Linked DNA regions of Oryzias latipes. The protein of the gene in region 2 purifies or fractionates together with the protein of the main gene of each other region. This does not show direct contact. Links are inferred from orthologs where the notes say so. Each region holds a gene or a part of one and is shown on either strand. Other genes may lie near its edges.

The links. Proteins that work in one complex are often made in the same cells at the same time.
Region 1: the proteins of sart3 (region 2) and prpf31 purify together in Homo sapiens (affinity purification with mass spectrometry; 6 studies listed by BioGRID and IntAct, counting the BioPlex papers as one, with this or other methods). This does not show direct contact. The link is inferred for Oryzias latipes from reciprocal best matches to the Homo sapiens genes SART3 and PRPF31.
Region 3: the proteins of sart3 (region 2) and lsm2 purify together in Homo sapiens (affinity purification with mass spectrometry; 3 studies listed by BioGRID and IntAct, counting the BioPlex papers as one, with this or other methods). This does not show direct contact. The link is inferred for Oryzias latipes from reciprocal best matches to the Homo sapiens genes SART3 and LSM2.
Region 4: the proteins of sart3 (region 2) and prpf3 purify together in Homo sapiens (affinity purification with mass spectrometry; 5 studies listed by BioGRID and IntAct, counting the BioPlex papers as one, with this or other methods). This does not show direct contact. The link is inferred for Oryzias latipes from reciprocal best matches to the Homo sapiens genes SART3 and PRPF3.

The regions. Positions count from the first base shown.
Region 1 is NC_019874.2:19,364,029-19,368,914, reverse strand, and holds the start of prpf31 (U4/U6 small nuclear ribonucleoprotein Prp31), read left to right. Parts: upstream 1-1,831; 5' UTR 1,832-2,004; intron 2,005-2,273; coding exon 2,274-2,486; intron 2,487-2,566; coding exon 2,567-2,627; intron 2,628-2,717; coding exon 2,718-2,801; intron 2,802-2,895; coding exon 2,896-2,993; intron 2,994-3,190; coding exon 3,191-3,297; intron 3,298-3,430; coding exon 3,431-3,600; intron 3,601-3,695; coding exon 3,696-3,853; intron 3,854-3,950; coding exon 3,951-4,040; intron 4,041-4,115; coding exon 4,116-4,243; intron 4,244-4,694; coding exon 4,695-4,767; intron 4,768-4,886. UniProt on the Homo sapiens protein: Involved in pre-mRNA splicing as component of the spliceosome. Required for the assembly of the U4/U5/U6 tri-snRNP complex, one of the building blocks of the spliceosome.
Region 2 is NC_019867.2:12,882,929-12,885,918, reverse strand, and holds part of sart3 (squamous cell carcinoma antigen recognized by T-cells 3), read left to right. Parts: coding exon 1-52; intron 53-918; coding exon 919-1,026; intron 1,027-1,094; coding exon 1,095-1,172; intron 1,173-1,266; coding exon 1,267-1,325; intron 1,326-1,578; coding exon 1,579-1,688; intron 1,689-1,766; coding exon 1,767-1,879; intron 1,880-2,061; coding exon 2,062-2,138; intron 2,139-2,227; coding exon 2,228-2,390; intron 2,391-2,470; coding exon 2,471-2,916; intron 2,917-2,990. UniProt on the Homo sapiens protein: U6 snRNP-binding protein that functions as a recycling factor of the splicing machinery. Promotes the initial reassembly of U4 and U6 snRNPs following their ejection from the spliceosome during its maturation.
Region 3 is NC_019862.2:27,136,461-27,141,048, reverse strand, and holds lsm2 (U6 snRNA-associated Sm-like protein LSm2), read right to left. Parts: upstream 3,056-4,588; 5' UTR 2,938-3,055; coding exon 2,935-2,937; intron 2,750-2,934; coding exon 2,682-2,749; intron 1,563-2,681; coding exon 1,532-1,562; intron 1,446-1,531; coding exon 1,386-1,445; intron 484-1,385; coding exon 358-483; 3' UTR 29-357; downstream 1-28. UniProt on the Homo sapiens protein: Plays a role in pre-mRNA splicing as component of the U4/U6-U5 tri-snRNP complex that is involved in spliceosome assembly, and as component of the precatalytic spliceosome (spliceosome B complex).
Region 4 is NC_019874.2:18,946,566-18,951,192, forward strand, and holds the start of prpf3 (U4/U6 small nuclear ribonucleoprotein Prp3), read left to right. Parts: upstream 1-1,572; 5' UTR 1,573-1,748; intron 1,749-2,131; 5' UTR 2,132-2,140; coding exon 2,141-2,285; intron 2,286-4,264; coding exon 4,265-4,395; intron 4,396-4,627. UniProt on the Homo sapiens protein: Plays a role in pre-mRNA splicing as component of the U4/U6-U5 tri-snRNP complex that is involved in spliceosome assembly, and as component of the precatalytic spliceosome (spliceosome B complex).

The DNA.
Region 1 (4,886 bases), on a different chromosome or scaffold from region 2:
AGGGATGCACTTTCTTTAGGAATTCATCTGTCAATGTAAATGCTTGGATTCTAGTCTAATCTTTACTGAGGAGGTTTTTCATTGCAGTCAATTGTTCTTATAGACAGCAGTTTGAAAAAAAAACGTCTGGACTCCGGTATCTGAGGTTATCTCTTAACCTTTGTACAAATATCATAATACAGGTGTATACAATATCTTTTTTTTTTTTAGCTTTTACTTTTAGGTGTATTCTTAGACTGCACGAATTATTAAAGAAGTTCTGTCTGGGTTGTTTTTTTTCCCTGCAAATTCCAGTATTTATTCCAATGTTTAATTATTTAGGTAAACATATTTATTTATTTACTTATTTATTTGTTTGTTTATTCTTATCTATTTATTTGGTGCTTTTAGCAAACAGGAATTTAGGTTTAATTTGGGACAAGATACATTAAAGGTATACCTTGTCTAAGCTCTCCATGACAAATAAAATATTTTCCCAAAACGTCTTAATTGCTGGAAAAAAGAACTATTTTGTATAATTTTACTTGTTAATACTTGCCAATCTGTACTGTACTGAATTATGTCTTGTAATGTTTCCTTATTTTCATGTTTATATTATTAGCAGTCTTGTCATTCTTTATCTTGTTTAATGACCGTTTATGTAGCTTAGCATGACAGAACAGTTGCTCATCAGTAAATAAGACCATTTGCTTGTGTATTTGTTAATTTATTTCATTTTCTACTAATAGCCATCAATCATGCAGCTGAGGTCCAACTAGTCCATTTGTTTAGTCTGTTTAAATGTTGGTTTAAAATTGTATTGTTTAAAAACTGGGTTTCAAAGGGGAGGATGTACAATAAAAACTACAAAATGTGAGCCTCTTATCCAATACGGGTCATGTCCCAGTCATTGTTCATTCGTTCAAATACCTCACCAATTTGTTGCAAGGGCAGGGTCCTTTCTGAGTCCCTATATTGTGTCAATTAGAAGTAATATTTAAATATGTTCTACTGAAAGCAGAAGTCAGTTACAGAATAAAATGTATAAAATAGAACAGTTAATAAATATAAGTCTAATAAAGTGGGAAACCACAATTGGTCAAAGCATAAACGTCCATTGATAAAGAATTTGTGGCCCATTGTTTTGTGAATGAAATTTTGATTGTAAAGGTAATTGTCTTATTTCTATAAAGTTTTTGTGTGCTATGGTGAAGTATCATAATTTATTAAAATTGTTGTAAAAAAAAAAAAAAAAAAAAGTTAACCAAACTCTAGTTTCCTGAATGCAAGACTGGTACTTTGCTGCCATGTATGTATTATATTTTGTGTGTAAATATTTTAAAACGCAATTTAAATATAAAATGTAAAGTTTTTAAGTTCTTACTTTGTCCCATCACTTTTGAATACGTTTTTTTTAACAGTTTGTCACAGAAACTTACTAGTCATTTATTTAGTTATTTGTTGTTGTTTTTTTAACTTCTCTTCCTATTATGTACAGGTAGCTTTTAAGGGTCTAATAAATAATATAAAATAAATTAAGAATAGAAAAATATTTTTAAAACAATATTTTAAGAACTACAAATAAAAGAAGAGTTATAGTAAAGTCATTTTCGGAATACTAGAAAAAAACCTGTGTTTTTATTTTGTGGCCTGAAATGTAACTCCTTATTCGAATAAATATGTATTTAGTTGCGACCTACTACACATTTTTTAAGAGAAGGTAATTAAAGCAACCAAGTAAACTCATAAAGACCGAACATTCATTTTTAGAAAGAAGCCCGTATGTTATTTTCTCATCTCTTAAGGAAAGGGGATACTTACCCATAATCCCATGCGGAAATCGTGACGTATTTATTCTGCGACAAACCACCCGGATCGTGAGCTTTATGTTGTAAACAGGAGCAAGAAGCCGCACAAGTAGCATTACCTATATTGGCTTCTATTAGAACCCTTCCTGTCTAAAGTGACTTTTAAAAAAATATAAATATATTTTTGTTTTGTTTTACTTCATTTTGAAAGTGCGACGTAAGTTACTATTTTTCAGTGTTGAATGACGTTTGGTGAACGTTTGCTAACTTTAGCTAGCTAACACAGAATAGCAGACTGATATCAGTTTTTGTTTTTTTCAACGGGATGTTTATAAAAAATAACACTGATAGACTTTCGTTAGATCTACTTCCTTTTGAAAATAATTGCAATAAACACAAATTTAACAACTGCCCACACTTTTACTCTCGTTTAAGCTGAAAGATGCATTGTTAGAAGATGGATCATGAATTTTACTCTGATTGCAGATGTCATTGGCTGACGAGCTTCTGGCTGACCTGGAGGAAGCTGGAGATGAGGGGGAAGATGGGCTGTACCCAGAGGGGGAGGAAGGAGGGAGTGATGGAGAGGGGGCTTCAGGGAGGACAGAAAGACTGGAAGATATCCCCGAAGAGATGGAGGTGGACTACAGTAAAACTGACAGCATTACGTCTATCGCCAAGCTCCGCAATAGCAAACAGGTCTTTGTTTAGCTGACTCTCATAAAGAGTTCCTTTTTTTCACTACCTGAAGGCAGTCCCTTTTAACTGCTTGTTTTCAGTTTTCAGATATAATTGAAAAAATATCTGGATATATTGGAAAACAGCGCAAGAATTCAGATGGTGAGTGTTGAAAAAATGTGCATTTTAACAGAAAATGTTACTGATTTACTTCCATTTCTTTTTCTCCTGTTTACCTGTATTTTCTTTCAGTTTCAGGACCAGTTGAGGCTGACCCAGAATACAGGCTGATTGTTGCAGCCAACAATCTTACAGTTGAAATTGACAATGAGCTTAGTGAGTTGGACTTTTATTGTGCGACAAAACCTAATGAAGAAATTGGATTCTTTCAACTGAAAGTGTGAGGTCTGTGTTTCTCCTGTCTTTTCAGACATCATTCACAAGTTTACAAGGGACAAATACTCCAAGAGATTTCCAGAGCTTGAGTCTTTGGTTCCAGATTCTTTAGATTACATTCGCACAGTCAAGGTTTGTTGATCTTAAAAGATAAGTTTGGAGACGTTGAAGTTACCGGATATCAAATTTTTGATTTTGTTTTTCTTCTATTAAAAGAAAAGATTTGCTGAATGGTTTCCATTATTCTGCATAGGTTTGTTTTTTTCTTTTTGCATCTAACCTCTAAATCTTCCCCCTTTTTTTGTTGTAAATGTGTGCTTCGTATAAAGGAATTGGGAAACAACCTGGAGAAATGTAAAAACAATGAAACCCTGCAGCAAATTCTAACCAATGCCACCATTATGGTCGTCAGTGTCACTGCATCAACTACACAGGGGTAAGTTTAAGAATGTTGGTACTTGTGTCCTATTACAATAAACTTTTTTTTTTAACATTTCCATTATTATGTCTGTTGTTTATTTTATTTACATAGACACTCCCTTTATATATTTTATTGTTTTCCTCTTAAGGTCATTGCTAACGGAAGATGAGCTGAAGCAGCTTGAGGAGGCTTGTGACATGGCTCTGGAGCTCAACCAGTCAAAACACAGGATATATGAATATGTAGAGTCCAGAATGTCCTTTATAGCTCCAAACCTGTCAATCATTGTGGGAGCATCGACTGCAGCAAAGATCATGGGTGAGGAAGTGAAACTATCTAGAAAATATCAAGTTTTTTTATGCCCATACATTTTTTTTTCTTACTTTTGAATTTTTTTCCCTGTTTGGCTGAAGGCATTGCTGGAGGCCTAACAAACCTCTCAAAGATGCCAGCCTGCAACTTGATGCTGCTGGGAGCCCAAAGGAAAACTCTGTCAGGCTTCAGTAGCACATCGCTGCTTCCTCACACGGGCTACATCTACCACTGTGATGTTGTGCAGTCATTGCCTCCTGTCAGTACACCATATTCAAGAATAACAAGTACCTTTTCCACATCTAATGTTTGTTTGCCTTAGTTATCTCCTTTCCCCTTTTGTTCTCCCCCCTCAGGACCTTAGGAGGAAGGCAGCTCGTCTGGTGGCCGCGAAATGCACTCTGGCTTCTCGAGTAGACAGTTTCCACGAGAGTCCAGATGGAAAGGTAAACATCTCAAATTAAAGGAACATTCAGAAATATAATTTCTGTCTCTGTTATTCAACTCCCTTTGTAATGCAGGTTGGCTATGACCTAAAAGAAGAAATAGAGAGAAAGTTTGATAAATGGCAGGAACCTCCACCAGTGAAGCAGGTCAAACCACTGCCAGCCCCGCTGGACGGACAGAGAAAGAAGAGAGGAGGAAGGAGGTCAGTCACTTATGGTTATTAGTATTTGATAGAATTGCCTGTAAATTCATCAAAACCTCTGTTTGTATTATAAATATAGTCAATGGCTTCAAAACTATTTAAGGAATTTTATAATTCTCAAAAACTGCTCTTTTGCCAGAGTTCTTTTAAAAATATGCTGCAATGTAATTGTTGTTTTAAACATCTTTGATATAGAAATACTTTTGTCTAACAAAGAACTAACTAAATGGAGAAATACAATTATTTGGACAGCCCTACTCAGTTCATTTTTGTCCAATTAGTTTACTTTGAAGTATTTTGTAATATCTTAAACTGCAGTACAATCAATTAATCTGCATAATTGTGACAAATGTTGAATTTATCACAGATGTAATGTTTTAGTGAAAGAGATATTGAATGTGTTTATTAGTCAATGCTTTGGTTTGAGCTGCCCTTTATGTTTGTTCTGTAGGTATCGAAAAATGAAAGAGCGCCTGGGGCTGACTGAGATCAGGAAACATGCCAACAGAATGACCTTTGCAGAGGTTTGTGGATTGTCTTAAAGCAGCTTGATATTTACTTTTCTTAGTATGTTCTATATTTTACCTTATCATTTGGTAATCTATTATTTAGCAGCCACAGGTTGTAGTCAAGATGATTTTTC
Region 2 (2,990 bases):
AGCTACCTGCTGGCTTTAGAGAGGCATGGAGCAGACCATCACACTGTGTCAGGTACCAGTTTGATTACCTGTGACATTTACCACATGTGTGATGACTAACTTTTAATTCCTTATTAAAATGGTTTTAAACAGTGGAGGAGAAAAAAGTTGTTAAAGAAAATGTTTTTTTCCTTGAAATTTTCATTTAGGGAGAAAAATCGAATGAATTAATTCGAATTTTTTGTTACGGGTGATTTAAAAAATAACTAAATTGAGTTTTTTTGCAACGGTGCATTTTTGGCTCCCCGGAGCTTCTGTAGCGTTAATTCACACGGCAGTATGACAAGCGACAAACAACAACATCATAGCACCACGAAACAGCAAGCGGCAACATGGCTACCGGTGAGAGTGGGAAGTTTGTTCCCAAGAAAGGAATAAAATCATCTGTTGTTTGGAACTGGTATGGGTTTGCTGCCACAGACGTGGAGGAAGAGACCCCCCCCCATGCTGCAACACTTGCCTAAAGCCCATCGCAGTCAAAGGCAGCAGCACCACAATCCTATTCCAACACCTGGAACAGAGACATCCAGCGGAATATGAAAAAGGCCAGTCTCTCTGAGGCGAACAAAACCGCGGTGACCAAAAAAACAGCTAACTGTAGCCGAAAATCGGAAATCAAATCAAATCTGAGATTTTATTTTTAGGCCTTATAGCCCAGCCCTAGTCAAAATAAAAGAATATTTGGTTACTTGCTAAAGTTAACAAATAGTAATTTTTTTTCTATTATTTCTATATACATATTAGAAAAAAAGCTGTAAATGTTTAATTCTTTACAAAGATGCTGAGTTATTAAAGTTGAGGAAGCACGTGTGTGTTAATGGGGACAGTTAGTTTATTTGTGTGTTTGAGTTTCATTTTCTTCTTTTGTCTTTTGTTCAGATGTTTTTGAGAAAGCACTGAATGCAGGCTTCATTCAAGCAACAGACTATGTGGAAATCTGGCAGGTGTACCTGGACTACCTGAGGAGGCGCGTGGATTTCAGTAAAGGTGAGAGCTGCTGTGTTCGTCACATTTGGTAAAATAAGAAATTGGAATCATTTAAACTCTTTCTTTAGAATCAAGCAAAGAATTGGAGGAGTTACGAGAGGCCTTCTCTAGATGCTTAGACTACATGAAACAAGATGTTGAAGAAAGTAAGTAAATCTATTGTTTATTTACTTTATTTTGTCAGTTGAAGTTCTCATTTAGCTTTTTTCATCACTAACTTATATTTCGGTGTAAATTCAGGATTTGGGGAAAGTGGAGACCCTTCCTGTGTCGTCATGCAGATTTGGGCAAGGATAGAGGTAACTGGTGCTACTGCTTAAACCAGATTCAAGTGTGAAATCTTAAATTATATTATATTGGTGGTAAAAATAAAATAGGACTCAAGTCTTAACCAAGAGAATTCTATAAAACAATTTAAGATAAATTAAGTGAAAGCTGAGAATTTGGTTGTTGAAAAATGAAGCAGGAAGTTTTGATTGGAATATTTGAACAGTATCTTTCAAATTTTGGGATTTTAATTTGGCATTAAATTCTTTTTCTGTTCCTCACCAGGCCCTCCACTGCAAGAACATGCAAAAAGCCCGAGAGCTGTGGGATAACATCATGACTAAGGGGAACTCCAAATATGCCAACATGTGGTTGGAATACTACAATCTTGAAAGGTTTGTTTGGTAATCCCCCAAATCCAGAGAGAAAAACACTTTGCAGCAGTGACAAGAAGCTTTCTCTGAAAACCATAGATCTTATGGGGACTCTGTTCACTGCCGGAAAGCTCTCCACAGAGCAGTTCAGTGCACCACCGACTATCCGGAACACGTCTGTGACGTCCTGCTCACCTTTGAAAGGGTAGAAGGTGAGTCTCATGGTAACACAATTTTACACCTCCAATCTCATGTCAGCATTATATAATCAACTCTGTTGCTTTATTAAGTTAAATACAGTTAGTGGTATATGAGATGAACTATCTAACAGATAAACTAAAGATCTCATAGCTGTTAGAGATTGAGTTATTAATTATATAAAGGTTCCATCCAGGTTCATTGGAGGACTGGGACACAGCGGTGCAGAAAACTGAGTCCAGGATGAACCGGATTAATGAGCAACGAGCCAAGGTAGGAAGGTGTTGATGTGTGTTGGACAGGATGGTAGCATCGCATGGAGCTAATGTTAGCATATCCGGATCATAACCTCCAAAAATCAGGCTGCTGAGAAAGAAGCCAACCAGGCTCGCCAAGAGGAGGAACGAGTTGAGCAGCGTCGGAAGGTCAAGGCAGAAAAGAAGGGTCTGAAAAAGGATCAGAGGGGAGCTGGTGAGAAGAGAAAAGCAGAACAAGAGGATCAGGATGAATGGAACAAAGACTCGGGTAAAGGTTATTTTAAGGAAAAATAACTTAATGTTTTGACAATGTTGTCACAAAGTTTCTCTTTTCCATGATGTTGTAAGGGCCTAAAAGGCGCAGAGGGAATGTAGACGGCACTACAGACGAGTACATGGAGACGGAGACCGGGCTCTTTGGAAGGAACGCTCCCAGAACTAAACCTTCAGCCGGCCTGAAGAAAGTCCCGCCTGGACACGGGGACGCTGCGGAGAAGCAGATCGACGACAAGTCTGAGCTCCGAGACGACTGCTGCAGCGTGTTCATCAGTAACCTGGCATTCACGCTGCAGGAGCCAGAGGCAACGCTCAAAGCGCTGTTTGAGAGCTGCGGTTCCATCGCCCAGGTTCGCCCCATCTTCGGCCACAGAGGAGTCTTCAGAGGATACTGCTACGTACAGTTTGAATCTCCAGCATCCGTTACTGAAGCTTTGAAGCTGGACAGACGGGAGGTGGAGGGGAGGCCCATGTTTGTTTCACCGTGTGTAGATAAAAACAAAAATCCAGACTTTAAGGTTTGTAAAAACACACATCAGATGTTTTTTCAAGCTATTAGTTTCCTTGTAGTAAATGAAACTATTTTAGATGC
Region 3 (4,588 bases), on a different chromosome or scaffold from region 2:
ACAAAACAAAAAAAGGCGGAGCAACACAGCCAAATATAAATTATTTTATTTCCAAATGGCATTAAAAAACAAAAAAGTTACAGCTATTGGAAAATGGCAGAGTCTCATCTGCAGGCTTCACTTTAGGCCAAACTCTATAGGAATGAAACAAAAGACAAAGATCCTAAACCGCCTCAGAAGTAAAGAAAATGTCCATAAACCCACAGACCTGCAGTTGGCCCATCGCCAACATCAGGAATGCACTCAATTCTCCATCGACCGGCGCAGTGTGTGGAGGCGGTTCACAGCGGTCTTCTTCAAACTGAACTATAAAGAACCCATGACTTAAAGCCCCCCTCCCCGAACCCGCAGCCCCGGTCACTGCTTCTGCTGCATGGCTTCCTTCCGAGCGGCGTCCTGAAGCAGCTGAGTGTCCACCTCGTCTGCCGGCAGCTGAACGTACCGGACCACCGAGCCGCGGATGAAACAGTTTTTCACAGACAGCTGGAGAGCGTGAAACACGTGAGACACGGAGTCAGGCAGGGCGCCTTCCAGAGGAAGAGAATGAACACATCCAAGGGGATTCAGAAGCTAACACTTCTCTTTTTCCCACCACTCTCACGGGTCAAATAACCACATTTACACTCACCTGCCACTTTATTAGGCACACCTGTCCATCTGCTCGTTATCACAAATTTCCAACCAGCCAATCACATGACAGCAAATCAATGCATTTAGACATGGTCAAGATGATCTGCTGCTGTTCAACCCGAGCATCAGAATGAGGAAAAAAGGTGATTTAAGTGATTTTGAACGCAGCAAAGCTGAAATCATCTATTAATAATGAGTTCTCTGGACTCGATGGTCTCCACAGTCACCAGATCTCAACCCAATAGATCACCTTTGGGATGTGGTGGAACGGGAGATTGGCATCATGGATGTGCAGCCGACAAATCTGCAGCAACCGTGTGATGCTGTCATGTCAATATGGACCAAACTCTCTGAGAAATGTTTCCAGAACTTTGTTGAATCTCTGCCACCAAGGATTAAGGCAGTTCTGAAGGCAAAATGGGGTCCAACCCAGTACTAGCAAGGTGCGCCTAATAAAGTGGGCAGTGAGTGTAGAACTTCTGCATATTTTTAAATGTTTTTCTGAAAAATTGTAGTTTAGAAACTCTGAAAAATGTTTCTAAATCTTTGCTGTTTACCTGAAGAACTGCTGTCTGCTCTGCCCTACACTGAAACTGAACTTCCAAAGGTGTGCTTCTACATTTCTCACCCAGCAGACAACTTTAAAAATGTTTGTTATACTGACAGAAGGAAATAAAAGAATAAAAACAACTGTATGTTTTAGAGGCCTCTATGCAAACTTTAGACTAAAAAGTAAACCATAGATGAGGACTTGCCATGTGTGGATACTTCTCTGGGTCTGTCACACTGATGTCGGTCAACTTGATGTTCAGGTACTAGATGATGACAAGAACAACATTTTTAAATTGCAAACCAATACATTGATTAATTAAAAAAAGTAAAGAATTAATTATTTTCTAACCTGATCAACAGAATGAAGCGTCCCACAGATACTGGGGGGAAAAAGAGAAAATGAAGCTTTCAATGCAACAGTGAACTTTTGATGTTAAATGACTTTCTGGGAATATGCAAATTTGTATTGAACAAGTCAAAGTTTTTGTTCAGTAAATTTATTTCTATTGTCAATGCTGCAGGAAAGTCTGTTTTTTCTTATATCCCACTCTTATCTTTTTAAAGCGCTCCTAGTGGTCTTTAAATGTGCTGTTTTTAGCCAAAAATAAAAAAAAAACCTGCGTCGTTTTCTAGGACAGTTTCTGCAGAGCAGCAGTTGTTCACTAGAAATTTGTCTGAGATCGTTGGTGCAGAGCAAGCCTGCCCCATCTTCCCATCATCCTTTGCTAACTTACAACCCCCCCCCCTTAACCCAACATTAGGTGTGCAACAAAAAAGAAAAAAAAAGTAATATTGGAGCAATCCAGCCGTACAGTTATTTGTGCCAGCTCAGACCAGGAAAACAAAGACGGACAAATCTATTTGCCTGCAAGTGGATGCATCAGAATGGAGCAGAGCAGGGAGCTTATGGCATCAAAACCACTTTTTTCATTTGGATGGGTTTTTAAAAAAAGTACCACATGTCTAAGTATCGTCCATCTGTGAGAGGAGCTAAGAATTATGAGTTACGTCTTTAAAGAATGCCCAACAACTAACTGTAAGCTAATTTTAATATTTACTTTTGAGCTTTCATCATGAGATGCAGCTAGTTTGATTGACCCCCCACCCCCACCCCCGCAATTGACCCTACTTCTTCGGGAAAAAGGTCTAAAATGAATTTGCAGCACGTTTGCAGACCAAGAGTTAGCTCAGAAAACTAACAGGAAAAAAAGTACATTTTTCACGCTGCTGGCACCAACCTATTGAGCCAGATTTGCAACAAATGCTGGAAGGAAGGGATGGCAACCCCACGCCACTGTGACCAGCATGAGATGCAAAACACCAGCTAGAAGGAAAGACAGCAACTCTGACAGAGTCAATGTCTCTGTCAATGCTAAGTAGCTCTTCACTGCACCCATTCAAACAGCGCTAGCAGAACCACGCGCCATTTTTAACCACAAACGGCGCTTTGAAAAGAAACATTACCAAACAAATTGGTATGTTGAGTTATCAAAACCAACCTGAGGTCGTTTTTCAGCTCCACCACCACGTCCTTCCCAACCAAAGACTTGAAAAACGAGTAGAAAAGCTGTAGATTTTTTTTAAAAAAAAGACGATGTTAGCACGATGATGGGCCGACAAAGCGGCTCAGCACACTGCGAGCAAACTCAGCGACAAAACAAAAGAAATTCAGAAGAATTCTGACACTCAGAAACCTAAAATGTTTGACTTAAACTAAAAAAGTACATTTTAAAATGACGATTTACGCCTTACCATTTTGGCTGTGGTGTTCTACAGAAGGTTTGGCTGCTGTTGATGACGTATCAGCCTGCGCCGTGTTTCAGCGGTGAGTGAGTACCACTTTGCGCCACTAGAGGGAGACACACTGTCGTTCAATGTTTATTAAGGAACTATCAGGTGTTTTTCATTGACCGAGATTTAAATTTAGGCTTTCACTCATATTTCTTTAAAAAAAAAAGACATAAAAAACATTATGAGCCATCTCTTAAAAAATTGAATAAAATATCAAAAGTCTAATTCAGATTTAGTCTAGCTTCTAGTCTAGCTACCAGACATGTTTGTGATACTTTTTGTACCTCAAAACTTTATTTTTTTGTAGTATGCAGACCTTTACTGTGATTTAAAAACACACACAAACACAAACCTGAAATGTCTATAATTTGCTGCAAGAGTTTTTAATCAGGATTAAGTTTGTTCCTCAATGTTCTTTTATAAATTACGACGGAGTTTTAGGGCCACCAAAAAAAAACAAAAAAAAAACGTAGGGTCGTAATAAAAACATAGAACCTAAACTATATTAATAACGATATTAATCTTTGTAAAGAAATTGTGTTTTTCTATACTGGTCAAAGGAAAGCATGCTTTTCATGCTTTAATGCTGAAAGTTTTCTGTATGAAAACTGGATATATTTATTGTTTACGTCTTCTAATTTAAAGAACCTTTGGTCTCCAGTGCCATTTGGAGTTTTATTCTGTTTCTTCTCCAATGTCTTTCTGATTTTATCTACAGTTTGATGCAATAAAAATCAGAAAATGAACACAATTGTGACCGTTTTGTTTCAAGAGTTCTTTCTGTATTCTGATGAAAGACCACACGGGGGCAGTGTCGAGCACTCAGATGTTTTAACAAATCTTTTCAGCTTCTTTACTCATCATGGTTTACGAACTTGATCTGAAACAGAAAACTCTATAGCAACGAATCACAACTGAATGTACACAGTTTTATCTTTAAAATAATTATTAATTCAAAAGTTCTTTTGTTTTGTTTTTGAGAAAGTTAAGACGTTGCTCCTGGGTCTTCTGTTGTTGACACGGGTAAATTCCACTAAATGTGCTTAAACTGTGGAGTGGACGGTGTCTCAGTGGACTCTAGTTCAGGATAAAAAACAAACAGGTGAGATAACTCTGGACCATTTACTCCTTTTATGAATTTTCCTATGTTTTGGAAATTCTTTTATTACAAGATACATACTTGATAGAGTGAGTCTTTCTGCAACTGTTAACTTAATTCATTTTCATCAAATATAGGGCTGCACAGTGACGTAGTGGTCCACTAACTTTACTCAACAGTTGCTCAGTTAAAGGATTCAGTGGGTTCTGAGGATGGATAGGTAGATAAGTGGATCATTAAAAGCAAAAACAGAGTTTCTCTATAGACTATCATGTAAAACTAACCCTATTCTAAAAAGACTTTACAGAATGAATAAATGTTGTCACTTGACCCTTGAAGTCACAACGAAACTGTTAATATCATCCGAGCACACACAGGAAACACATCGGAATCACAAAAAAATATAGTTATTATTATTCTTACTTTCTCTTCTGTAAACCACCTCAAATTTGGCGGCTGAACATGCAGGAAAAATGACCAAAAAGGCACAAAAACACCAGGACAGGTGAGCTCCTT
Region 4 (4,627 bases), on a different chromosome or scaffold from region 2:
CCTGAGTTCATCATGACTCCCTGGGCAATTAGTTCTCAGTCTTTCATGGAGGTACCATCATTTTTGTCCAGCCCTATTTCATTAGGTTTTTTTTTTTAATAATTCTGTCAATCAACAACTCAGAAGTAATGGCTGATTTTGATTATTTAATTTTCAATTAATTTGAATTTATAATTTTATTGTTACTTTTGAACGTTTAAAGTCATTTCAGTGAGCCTTGTGGACTTTCTTTCTTTAACTGAGGGATACCAACAGTTTTGTCCACCACTATTTTAAAGGTTCATTGGGACAATTATTTTAATGTATTACATTTTTCTAGTAAGTGTAAATAGCTTTGCAGAGCATTTTTACAAAAGAAATTGCAATTTGTTAGCACTGACATGGATTATTATACAGAGAAGAGCCACTGTGTGGTAGCCTCAGGCTCACCACTGCTCATTCAGGCTCGCTCTACTACAAATGCACTCAGTTGACCCACATCACGCAAACCAATAGACACCCAGGGGCGGATCTGGAGTGGAGTGGGAAGGAAAGCACTTGATAAGCCAAAGATTTTTTTTTTTGGGGGGGGGGGGCTTTTTTTTGTAAGTTGACCGAGTATCTAAGTGCAGTGCTTGAGTAATGTTTAACTTAAGACTGAACTTAAGGGTTATGCGTAGCCTAAGCAGAAAATTGTGATTTACCATTCAAAGAAACTTTTCACTTCATGAACAAAAAGATGATGCCACTACATTTTGGAACTGCAATTAAATTTGCCCATGTCTTAAAATGCAAAAATCTCCTATATTGTGGTATTACAGTTTTCTCTTACGTTTGGTTAGATTTTGTTAGCAGTGGTTTAAAAAATGTTTGTGTTTATCTGTGGTAACACAACTACATTTTACTAGGACAGAAATTAAAATGCAAATACTTGCATTGCTCATTTGTATAAATAATAGTTATAATTTTCATAACACACATGCAGAAGAACACTCACAATGCATAATAAACATTGTTTTTATCACTGAAATTACTATTGTAAAATATATTATAAAATGTGCAGTATAAAGTACCTTAAAAAGGTATTCTGCTTACTAAATGCAAGCTACTTATTGAATAGGCTAACGTTTCTCAAGTTTAATTGAAACAAAAAAAGAATATAAAAAAAAAGAAACAAAAAAAAGAATATCAAAAAAAAGAAAGAATATCATGCAATCTGATTGTTTAAGTTTCACTTTGGACTATTTCCTATAAAATATGCCTTATTTAATCAAAAAATGTATGGAAGAAAATATTTGCACATAATTTAACTTTGGCCAGCTAGGCAAATACATTTTCAATCCCTTAACAAGACTTTACAGACAAAACAATTCCTTTGTGTTGTCAGCTGTCAGGTGAATTTCCTTGACTTGCTGAATTTTTGCTAATATTTAATGAACACTTTTAAATATATTATAGAAGCGGTTTTGACTTTTATTTTTTAAAGTGCCTTTATGAAAGCGCATAAACAACTGCAAGAGAAATGACATAGATGGCGAAAATCAAACAAAGCACGGTAAAAAGACTGAGAAGGATAAGTCGAGAAGAAGAATTTACGTCATTTCCTCTTCCGGGTCTCGTGGAAGAAACGTTACATGTACGGAGCGGCTAATCAGAAAGTTTGAAAGAAATGTTCAGGCTTTAGAGATTTGTACCCTTGAAATTAGATTCTTTTTGTGGGTAATTTAGAGTATATCTAAAGTAAAGAGGATTGTAGACAAAACTGAGAGGTTTGTATCCACCTTTAAGCCGCTATTAGCAGATTTCGGTAGCTCCCAAATGTAGCAATATGCTAACGTGTGCTAGCAGCGGTCGATGAGTTTTGGCGCAAGTAGCTAGTAGAGTTTAGCTTGTTTGCTATTTTGGTTAGTCTGGTTATTGATATGTTTTGATATGAAGCAACATTTTGTTAACTTAACTTTCATTTTTTATGACAAAAGGCAAACTTGTCCTCAAATGTGTTCGACATTTTTGACACGCAGGAGGGTCTCTCTGTGTCATGGCTTGTGATTAATAATGCCACTTGTGTAGCTCTCACTCATCAACTTTGTCAACAATAGGACTCCTGTTCCAACAAGAACTAAAAAAGACATCTGCGTGCTGTGTTTTGAAGGGCAGAAGGATGTCTCTTCCCAAGCGGGAGGTGGAGGAGTTGAGACCGTGGGTGGAGCGCACTGTGAAGAAGGTGTTGGGGTTTTCAGAGCCCACGGTGGTCACTGCAGCTTTACACTGTGTGGGGAAAGGATTGGACAAAAGGAAGACCACGGGTAAATTCCATGCTCATTTGCATGAAGAAAGAAGTTTTCAATCATTAGTAATTAATTCTGTTGTGGTTATTTTCATTTTTTTGTTCTGTTTTATTCCATCTTTGATGACACAGTTACTTGTGCATTTCTGAATTTAAGCGTCTCTTATTCATCTTGTTTTGAGGTTGCACATTAAGATAGTCTTATAATATAAAGCAAAAACAAACTCGTAAAAAATTTTAAGAGATTCTTTTGTTTGTCAAATGTTTGGTGCTTTTAGCTTTCCCGTAAACATTTGCTTATGATTACAGTCACTAATGGTCTTAGTCTAATAGTGTTTTTCAACCGTTGTGCCGTGTGATATTACCCATTTTCACTGATCTAAAAACATTTACCAAATCTAGGATATCAGCTCTGTGTTCATCCAAACAGGCCCCAAGAAAGCACTAAGTAGTTGGGAATATGAAAGATCGTAAAATACTTTTTTCTTTGTGTTTATTTGATTCTATTAAAGACATTTTGATAAGGCTGCACGTTGGCACAGTGGTTAGCACTCTTGCCTCACAGCAAGAAGGCCCCCAGTTCAAGTCCCAGCTGGGGGAACCAGAACATCAATGGGGGACCTATCTGTGTGGAGTTTGCATGTTCTCCCCGTACATGCGTGGGTTCTCTCCGGGGCCTCCGGCTTCCTCCCACAGCGACCTCCCACCTGTCCGTTCATACAACTCTAAATTGTCCCTAGGTGTGACTGTGAGAGTGCATGGGTGTGTGACCTGCGACAGACTGGCAACCTGTCCAGGGTGTCCCCTGCCTTCGCCCACAAGTGATGGGCTCCGGCAGCCCGTGATCCCGAAAGGGACAAAACGGAAGAAGATCATGAATGAACGAATGGCGGTACCGCGAGTTAGCCGCAGCTTCAGCTCTGTTTTTGGAAAAGTCCCACCCCTTTAACCCCTCCACCAATCATTCTTGGAGGTTTAATCCTGCGTCAACAGTCTGACCTCTCAGAAGTGGTTAAAGTCATCACTTCCTTGTTCTGATTTAGCTTTTTCCACTACATTTCCCATGATGCATTGGGTTAACGTGACAGCGTCTCAGCGGACGAGTCTTCCCTGTTAAACGTCTTGAAACCACAACAAACACACATCAGTTTTTAAATCTTCTTTATTAAATCAAAGGTCAACAGTTTAGTTTTCTTCAAGGTTTGTGTTTTTTTAATAACATCCAAACATCCCAGAGTTTGGTCCAAGTCATCTTTATTAATGAAACATTTTTCTTATAAGGTCTGTAAGAAATAGGATAATGTTGAAGTGGCCGAGAGACACAATCAAACAGAATTGAAACAATTTAATAATCTAAAAAGAAATAAAACATTTCTGTTAAAGTTTTCAAAGAATTAATCTTTGATTAAGACAAGAGAAAAACTAATAAAACTTCAACATGTTCACTTTTGATGTAGCTACAGAAAACATAAATATGTTAGTTTTGGTGTGTAAAACTTAACAATCATATTGTGATCATATAACTGTTCAAAAATTACAGTTGCCTTTGCACCAACATTGAAAAAAAATTGTAAAAAGTATATTATTTAGAAAGAATGTATTTGTTTTTTTGTGAGGTTACATGAAATTGCATGTTAATAAACTGGAGGGGAAAAAACATCTACCAGGGTAAATTTTCAATTAATTTATTTGAAAGTTATTACGGAAAACTAACTTAACTTTTATTACATCTTTTAGAAAAAACTGCTGCAACTTCCAGCTTTTTTGCCACAATTATCACAAAAATGTCTGTGATTGCGGAGGGACTGTAAATCAATACAGACTATAGAGTTTCTCCTTTTTTTTATTTTTGGATGCTTGTGTGCCGCAGGAATTTTGTCAAGGATAAAGTGTGCCTTGGCTCAAAAGAGGTTGAAAAACACTGGTCTTATATTAAGAAATGATTATCAACGAACTGTTGAATACATTGTTAATCATTTGACTCTTAATTGTCCTCAGACCAGTTGCGTCCCTTCCTCGAAGACTCAGCTGGTGGATTTGTTGAACGTCTTTTTGAAGCTCTTGAGGAAAGTAGAAGCAGCCGTGGCAGCAAAGGATCTGGAGAAAAGAACCGGAAGAGAGAACTTAAGGTAAATTAATGAATAAAAATTAATGATTTAGGCCTGCACAATATATTGCAAATTTATCGTTATTGCGACATCAAGCTGTGCAAATTGCATATCGCAAAGGACTGCAAAAATTGCAATAAATTGTAACCTTAAATGTTATGGTAGCTTGAAGTATTTAATGAATCAAATAAATCCATTTATGCATTTGACCAATCAGATGGAGGTCTTTATGTTGTTGACCAAGGTAGGGTAC